Linked DNA regions of Macaca fascicularis. The protein of the gene in region 2 purifies or fractionates together with the protein of the main gene of each other region. This does not show direct contact. Links are inferred from orthologs where the notes say so. Each region holds a gene or a part of one and is shown on either strand. Other genes may lie near its edges.

What was found.
Region 1: the proteins of RAB10 (region 2) and GDI1 purify together in Homo sapiens (co-immunoprecipitation; 4 studies listed by BioGRID and IntAct, counting the BioPlex papers as one, with this or other methods). This does not show direct contact. The link is inferred for Macaca fascicularis from reciprocal best matches to the Homo sapiens genes RAB10 and GDI1.

The regions. Positions count from the first base shown.
Region 1 is NC_088395.1:160,436,825-160,441,155, reverse strand, and holds the start of GDI1 (rab GDP dissociation inhibitor alpha), read right to left. Parts: upstream 3,057-4,331; 5' UTR 2,962-3,056; coding exon 2,917-2,961; intron 1,650-2,916; coding exon 1,542-1,649; intron 1,410-1,541; coding exon 1,310-1,409; intron 1,169-1,309; coding exon 1,034-1,168; intron 228-1,033; coding exon 29-227; intron 1-28. Other genes in the region: ATP6AP1 (V-type proton ATPase subunit S1), read right to left, coding at 4,282-4,331. UniProt on the Homo sapiens protein: Regulates the GDP/GTP exchange reaction of most Rab proteins by inhibiting the dissociation of GDP from them, and the subsequent binding of GTP to them. Promotes the dissociation of GDP-bound Rab proteins from the membrane and inhibits their activation.
Region 2 is NC_088387.1:96,200,736-96,205,053, reverse strand, and holds the start of RAB10 (ras-related protein Rab-10), read left to right. Parts: upstream 1-1,256; 5' UTR 1,257-1,780; coding exon 1,781-1,907; intron 1,908-4,318. UniProt on the Homo sapiens protein: The small GTPases Rab are key regulators of intracellular membrane trafficking, from the formation of transport vesicles to their fusion with membranes.

The DNA.
Region 1 (4,331 bases), on a different chromosome or scaffold from region 2:
GGCTGCCGCCACACCAGCTTCCCCTCACTCATCAGTGCGGTAGAGTGCCAGGGCGTGGCCAGTGAAATCGATGACATCCTGGCCCAGATCAAACTTCCGGTAGACATCACGCATGCTGGTAGTCTGGGGGTCAACACCCTCAAAGGTCTTGGGGTCATTCTCATCGAAGTTTGCCACAAACACCAGGAACTTGCGGAAGCGCCGTTTCTCAAACATACCCATCAGATCTAAGGAAGGTGGCGGGAGGAGGTTCTGCACCAACGCAGCACAAAACTCTCCATCTCAGCAGGGCAGGCACCCCCACTCCCAGCCCAGCTGTCCTGTGACCTTAGGTTAACCTCTCCACCCTTTTTAGCCTCAGTTTCCCCACCAGGATGAAGAGGGGATTGGCCTGGATGGACTCTAAGGGCTTTCCTGGCTTGGACACTTGGGGATGTCTTGAGGATCCAGTGGAGCCCCTGCCAAAGGCTCAAGTTTTCTTTGTTGTTGTTGTTTTTTGAGATGGAGTCTTGCTCTATCGCCCAGGCTGGAGTGCAGTGGTATGATCTCGGCTCACCACAACCTCCACCTCCCGGGTTCAAACCATTCTCTTGCCTCAGCCTCCCGAGTAGCTGGGATTACAGGTGTGTGCCACCACACTCAGCTAATTTTTTGTATTTTGAGACAAGACGGGGTTTCACCATGTTGGCCAGGCTGGTCTTGAACTCCTAACCTCGTGATCCACCCGCCTAGGCCTCTCAAAGTGCTGGGATTACAGGCATGAGCCACCGTGCCTGGCCACGCTCAAGTCTTTCAAAAGGAGTCCCGTTCCCCTCCACGTCACATCCCTGCTGCGTGGGGACCTCCCTCTTGGCAGCCAGCCATGCGGCATGACATGGGGCAGAGGGAATACAGAGTGAAGGGCCTCTGGTCCTTCATGGGGGAATGTGACTTTGGACAAAGGGGTGCCTTACTCTGGACAGCCACCCATCCCAAAGACAGTTGGCTTCCCTGCCACCCCATGATTTCTCTGGCTCAGGGGGCCCACACTCACTGGAAGCCAAGGCCTCAGTCTCAGTGGACGGCACTTTGTAGATCTTGCCCCCCTTGTAGACAAAGCTGCCCTCCACCACCTTGAAGTCCAGGTAGCGAGTCACTTCTGTATACAGTAGCATCTTTACCAGCTGCCCTGTGGGGGTGCACAAGGGCAACATCAGCACGGCTCTCTCCAGAGGTTCTAGCTGGTCTGGCTGTGCCTCCTTTGGAGCCTGACTGTCCTTAGGTCTTCCCTATCACCCCCGACCTGCAATACCTCCTTCCTGTCCCTCACCGTTAGCCATGAGGAATTTGGGAATCAGGTCAACGTTCCAGTCTCGGCCTCGGCCCATGGACTCAGGGGGCCCCTCCAGCAACTGAAAACGCTTATACAGCTGTAAGCAGAAGGGAGAGAGAGACACCTCAGGGACCACCTCCTCCTGCTCCAGGCACCTGGAGAGCTACTTCCACCCTGTGCCGCTGTGTGGGAGGTTAACAGGGATGGGCCTGGGCCCAGGCAGCCTCACCTCCTCCAGGGGTGTGATGGAGGAGCTCTCGCCCCCGTAGTAGGGGTTCCGGTCCATGTGCAGCACCTTCTTCCCGTTCACAGACATGATGCCCGACAAGATGCATTCCTGGGGGAGGGCCACACAATCCGCTGCACTCCCACCTTCCTCTGCTCCTACCAGCAGCCCTGATTTGTTCCCCACCCAAACCTGCCTCAGTGGACAGCTCCTTCCATCCACCACCCCCACCGGCTAGTTGCCTCGCCTAAAATTGGGGTGATGGTTTCATCCGACCACACTCTCCATTGCAACCTTGCGGGGTAAAGGAGACCGTCCCCCTCACAAGGCAGACAGTGAAATAACGGAGGCTTTGAGGTAGGCAGGGCATCCAGCAGACACAGGATGGCCTTCCAGTACCAACACGCCGAGAGGCATCTACCTACGCAGAGCCGCACAAAAAGGCGGATAAAACACAATGTGGCACAGAGGGGACCCAGCTGGACTGCGAAAGACACTCCAAAGGGAAGCAAAGAAAGGCTTAGCACAGTCCTTGAAATTGTAGGCCCCACCCTGGACTGCTCTTTCTTCAAAGAGCAGGAGCCCCTGCCGCTGAGGAGGGGCATCTGGGTCTGGACCGAGGGAGAAGAGTCTCTGAGGGGAGTGGGCCAACGGGATTTTCGGGGAAAGGGGGAAGATAAACACCCTCACCAGTCACTGTCACTAGCCCAAGGACAAAGGCTGCAGATGCTACTCAGCCTGAGGTCTCCATGGGCAACCGAGGTGGGGTTGCGGGAATGTGCTTACTGCCCCCACTGCTGCTCCTTCTGGAACATTCCCTGGATCCCCTGGCCCCAGAAGACGACGAGGGGGTGGGCTGAGAGCCCACCCTGGCGAGGCCCCCTGACCCCAGGTCCTTGTACTTCATCCTCACAGGGATTAGCGCAAGATGGGAAGGGACGCTGGGAGGCAACGCTAGGCGGGCGATGGGTGCGGGCGACGGGTGGATGCCGTGATGGGTGGGGGCGATGGGTGGGCGGGGTGGGGGCGATGGGTGGGCGGGGTGGGGGCGATGGGTGGGCGGGGTCGGGGGCAACGGGCCGAGTGGGGGTGCGTTTTCCGGTCCAGAGGGCAGGGGTAGGGAAGATGGGAGAGCGCCGGGGGTCGGACCCGGGTAGGCCAGGGGGCGGCCAGGAAGGGGGCCCCTTCGGGGAGATGGGGTCATGGCAACGAACAGAGGCGACATCGCGGGGGGAGCAGCGGGGTGGGCACGGCGCCGGCTTTTCGGGGAGCCGAGCGCAGAAGATGGCAGTGACCGGAGGATGGGCCGGCGGCCGCATCATCGCGGGGAATGGCGAGGGCACGACGCAGGGCCAAGGGCGCCCGGGGCCGCACTTACGGTGAGGCCGGTCCCCAGCACGATTACATCGTATTCCTCGTCCATGGTCAGGCCTCAGTGGCAGCGCCCGCTCGGCTCCTCCTCCTCCTTCACCACAGCAGTAGCCACCGCCGCCGCCGCCACCGCACTGGACCAAAGATGGCGGAGCGTCGGCCGCCGCCCGACCCCTCCGCCGCGTCAAAGAGTCCCGCCTCTTCCCGCGCCCCGCCGCACCCGGCAGGGGACACCGCCTTCCCGGCTCGCCTCCCGGGAGGGCTGCCAGGGCCCGGGCCACAGCACCAGCGCGGCTCCGCGGGCGACGTTGCTCGCCGAGAGTCCAGAGAGGCTCGGGGCGGGGCGGGCGGGGCGGGCGGGGCGGGCCGGCGGCCGGTGCTGCGGCCCGGGAAGGATCCATGCGCGGGAGCCGGGCGCGCCCCGCCCCGCCCCGCCCCGCGCGCGCCCGCCCCGCCCCCCGGGAGTCTCGGCGCGGCCCCGCGACCGGACGCGCGCCGCTGCGGCAGCCGGGGGCGGCTCCCTCACGACGCGAAGGCTGCCATTGTCACTACGGCCTCCTGAGACGCCGAAGCGCACCGGGACTCGGCCCGACCACCCCTCCCTGACCTAAGCGGTTAGGGCCCAGCTTACTAAAGCCCCTCCCGGTCTCCGGGGATGCCTCCTAGCCTCCCCCTCTCCAGGCTCCATCCTCCCGCATACCTCTGGCGAGCACGCGCCAAAAGCTCAGCGCAGAAATGAGCGACAAGAGGCCCAACGCATGGCGATCCTCGTTTACTTTATTAGGAAGGAAACAACCGAGCACCCCCTGCTCCTGCCAGGCACTTCCGGTGGGAACATGCCAGACAGCCGACGATCGCACCCAGCCCACCTGTGGAGGTGCCTTCCTTCTCAGGCCACAGAAATAAACCCCAGTGTACTGCTTATTGTTAGCACAACATCACCAGAAAACGATAACGACAGCCAAGCAGGACAGTTAAGTAGAACTTCCACACCCCAAACTCAGGGAGCCCTATAACCTTAAGGAGGGAGCATTTGCTACACAAAAACACTATCCACAGCCAGGGATGATGTAGACACAAGAATAAATAAGGAGAAAGGGGACCCTAGAATTCATGTCCCTTACGCCTCACAGCGACTAAGCCTGGAAAGCTGGTTGGTCTAGCATCTACGCAGAATATGTACACCTTGTTGGGAGAGATGGGGGCAGCCCAGGAAAGCTCCTCAGCAGGCTGAAGAGGGAGCAAGATGGGCTGAGGGGAGCTTGGGGTTCATGCTGCGGTAGGAAGAGGGAAGCTCCAGTCCAGTGTGCTGCAGGGTGGGAAAGCAACAACACGGACACTGTCCCACCCTCAATCCCCCACTGGCACAGGGTCAGACGATCTGGGTCAAAGAAATGGTGGGGCCCTTGTGATCATCAAAGC
Region 2 (4,318 bases):
GAACCGAAGGTAAAGCAAATGCAAAGAAAATGCGAGGGGCCGGGCACGGTGGCTCACGCCTGTAATCCCAGCACTTTGGGAGACCGAGGCGGGCAAATCACCTGAGGTCAGGAGTTCGACACCAGCCTGACCAACAGGTGAAACCCCGTCTCTACTAAATAGAAAAAATTAGCCAGGCGTGGTAGCATACGCCTGTAATCCCAGCTATTTGGGAGGCTGAGGCAGGAGAATCACTTGAACCCAGGAGGTGGAGGGTGCAGTGAGCCGAGATTGTGCCATTGCACTCTACCCCGGGCAACAAGAGCGAAACTCCATCTCAAAAAAAAAAAAAAAAAGAAAGAAAATGCGAGGAAGCAGGCTGGGTCGGACTGGGGATAGGCTTGACCACCTTTCAATTTTCAACCCAGTGGTACGACTCTGGCGGCAGGCAGAGGCCCCACCTCCTCTGCAGAGAGCTCTCGGGTTCTCCCGGATTCCTAAAGGACGGCAAAGGCCTGAAGCAGGTTCTCTCAGCACCGCACAGACCCTTCTACTTCGCGGGGAGGTTCTTCCTGCGCCCAGGTGTTCCTCAGCCTTCCTCTCCTCGCCCAGGAAGAGGTTGTGAGGATTACATCATCCCAACCCGAGCAGCGTGGCCAGTTTTTCCATCTCAAACTCTTGCTCTTTAAGTCAACCGGGATGGAGCACTCATGTTTCCCCGTCAGGCCTGGCCCTGGAAAGGGGGCACGCCGGGAGGCGTCTCGTTCTAGCAAAGAGGCTATTAAATGACCCAGGGCGCAGTTTTTTCTCGCGTTTACGAGCTCCACCTACATGGGAACACATGGCCACCCAAGCCCGTCGCTGCGCCAAGACCTCCAACTCAATACACCCGACAAACGCTGGGCAGAGAAACCGCAGCGCAGTCCAGCGGGAGACCCCAGGACTGGAAGGAGGTGCAGGGTTCGGGAAGGGTGTCTCGGGGGGAAAGCGGGGGGGGGGGGGGCGCTGCGCCTGCGCAGTCGCTAAGCAGCGGCTCCCGCGGGGCGTGCTCGTAACGCCGCGCACCCTATCAGGCGGCTACAGGGAGCGCGCCCGCGGCCTCGCCCTCTATCGCCCCTCCCTTCTCCCCTCTGGGTCCAGCCTCAGACTGAGGCTTGGATACCCGAGCATTCCACTCCACTTCGGCGCGCCCCGTGCCCTCTTGTGCGCGTGCGCAGAGGCGAACCGCAGGGCTAGGGCGTGAGGGAAGGGCGGGCGTACGTCCTTGCGTGCGTCTCAGGCAGCGCGCACGGCGGCGTGAGAGGGCACGGGGAAAAGGTGGCTCTGGCCGGGGCGGCTCGGTTTCATGGGGCTATGTAACTGAGCTCGTCGACTTGGGGGTCTTTCTTCGCTGCCCTCGCCGCGTGCTAGCGCGGAGTTTCTGCTCGCGAGAGAGACTGTCCTCACGCCCGCCGCGCCTCGTCGACGGCAGAGCAGGCTTGCTCGCCCGTGGGAGCGTCCCGGCCGAGAAGCCCTGAGGGGGGAGGGGAGGCCATTTTGTCCCGACCGACTCCCCGGAACCGGGCGGAGCGGCTGGGAGAGGCTGCGGAGCTGTGGTCGCCGCCCTCGGAGGCACTGGACGCCGCCACTGTCGGGGCTTCCCCGAAGCTGTTCGTAGGTCGCCCGCGCCCTCTCGAGCCTTCCTTTTTCCCACGCTTCCCCGGTCCTCCGGCCTGAGAACGCCCGAGTGAGGAGTTGGCCCTAGTGAGAGGGACCGATCCCTTGGGGCCGCCGGCGGCGAGAGCCCGAGCCGCTCCTCCCAATGGCGAAGAAGACGTACGACCTGCTTTTCAAGCTGCTCCTGATCGGGGATTCGGGAGTGGGGAAGACCTGCGTCCTTTTTCGTTTTTCGGATGATGCCTTCAATACTACCTTTATTTCCACCATAGGTAAGACCTGTGGGAGGACGGTGTACAGTCTCGGTAGCTGCAAACCGTTTATTTTACTCCAGACATCTTGCTTCCCGTAATATACGCCTTTGTTTCAGTGATTCCGATTCCAAACGACAGATCCAAGTTACTGTTTGAATCGGCATCGAGCTTACTGGGGCGGGGTCTTCCCATGATTTCCATCCGGTCTTTTGCTTTCGAGTCTCCCACTATGCTCAGTGCCTTCTGTTACAAAATATGCACCATTTAACCGTGTTCCAGAACCTTATTTCTTCAGGCGACTGGACTGGCTTTTTCCACATTTGCATGGAATTACTAGATGTGTGATATTTTTAAAGTATTTATTTCAGTGGTTGCGATTGAAGCAGTACTAGCTATTTGGGAAAGGCCTGAATTTATACTTTGGGGCAAAGAGAAGATTCCATATGCTCATAACTTAGAGTAAACTTGAGGGTTTCTGAGAAGGATAATTAAGGTAAATTAGAAGGGAAAAGTGAGTTGCCCTCATTGACTAATCCATTGATGTGTCAAACAATCGGAGGCTCTTCGCGCTTGGGGCGGGACTCTGGCATATTTGCCTCAGCGCTTTTCGAGACATCAACAGAAGCAGTAATCTGAGGAAGATGATCAGTTTCTGTCCTCAAACCCAACAGAGTGAAGTCAAGTTCTCTCTTCTATTTTATTTGACTCTAGTATTTACAGGAAAGTATTTTGCCAGTCATAGCCCTATGGACTTACAATGCACTTTCACCGTGTTTCAGAATTACTTAGTGTGGCAGTAAGAGCTGAAGAGTGACCTTTTTAATCGAATTTCCCGTTTAGGAAAGGAAAAGGGAAAGCTCTAGGAAAGTCCCTTTTGAATCTGGGTAGAAAATTTAAGTGGCGCTGACGCTAATTGTGCTTTATTAATTGTGAAACCCATCCGCTCCCCAATACATTTCTTAAAAGACACATGGCTCTCAGCATTGTGGCCGTGCAGTTGAACCCATGTTTAAATGTAATTTTATATTGAGACGATTTTAAAAAGCAACTGCAGTCGTCTTTGAACTCTGGGAATTGTCAAAATTAAGCTGATTTGAAGCAATTTATATAGCGTTACTGAAATATTTGGTTTGGGTTTTCTTTTGTGACAAATATCAGCTGCTTCGTTCTCACAAAATACATTTTACAGAAATTAAATTGGACAAGTCATTTTTTAAATAGATTTTTATTTTGCTCACCTTTTTTGGGAGGCAAATTATCATAATCCTTATTTCCAGAGTATCATACTGTTTTCTTGGTTTGTCATAAATTTCATGAAACTTAGGGCTTGTTCTCTAACTTGTGGGTTAGAGAATACTAGCACTTAGCGCTAGCACTTCCCTAGCACTAAGTTTGCTTTTAACACTCCACTTTTAGCTGTAGCTGGCTGGGGTTAGGTGATCAGATGGGTCAGCAAATATTTATTGAGCATCTAATGCTGGGCACTGTTCTTAGACACTGAGAATAAATGAACACAACAGACCCCTTGAGGAGCATTCCAGTAAGATGCTACAGTAGTAAGCATAGGGAGGAAGAGTGCCTAGTCTAAATCGTGAGGAGTTTGAGTAGACTTACATAGAGATGATACCTAAAATGAAGTCTGGGCCGGCGCTGTGGCTCACACCTGTAATCCCAGCACTTTAGGAGGCCTTGGCGGGCGGATCATAAGGTCGGAAGTTCAACATCAGCTTGGCCAATATCGTGAAACCCCATTTTTACTAAAAATACAAAAATTAGCTGGGCGTAGTGGCAGGTGCCTGTAGTCCCAGCTACTCAGGAGGCTGAGGCAGGAGAATGGCTTGAACCTGGGAGGCGGAGGTTACAGTGAGCTGAGATTGTGCCCCTGCACTCCAGCCTGGGCAACAAAACGAGACTTAGTCTCAAAAAAATAATAATAAATGAAGTCTGGAGGACTAATAGGAATTGAGTCAGAGGGGTGGGATAGGGCCTTTCTGGAAAAGGGAGCATAGAACAAATGTATAGTAAGGTTGAGGATTTAATTCATGTGGTCAACTTTCTTTCTTTCTTTCTTTATTTTGAGACTGAACCTCACTCTGTCACCCAGGCTGGAGTGCAGTGGTGTGATCTCGGCTCATTGCAACCTCCGCCTCAGGGGTTCAAGCAGTTCTGCCTCAGCTGCCTGGGTAGCTCTGATACAGGTGCTTGCCACCATGCCTGGCTAATTTCTGTATTTTTAGTAGAGACTGGGTTTCACCATGTTGGTCAGGCTGCTCTTGAACTTCGGACCTCAAGCACTCCACCGCCTCAGCCTCCCAAAGTGCTGAGATTACAGGCTGAGCCACCACGCCCGGCTATGTGGTCAACTTTAACCTATCCTTAGGAACAGTGTGGTTGGAGAGTAGGAAGCAAAACATTAACTGTCTCTACTC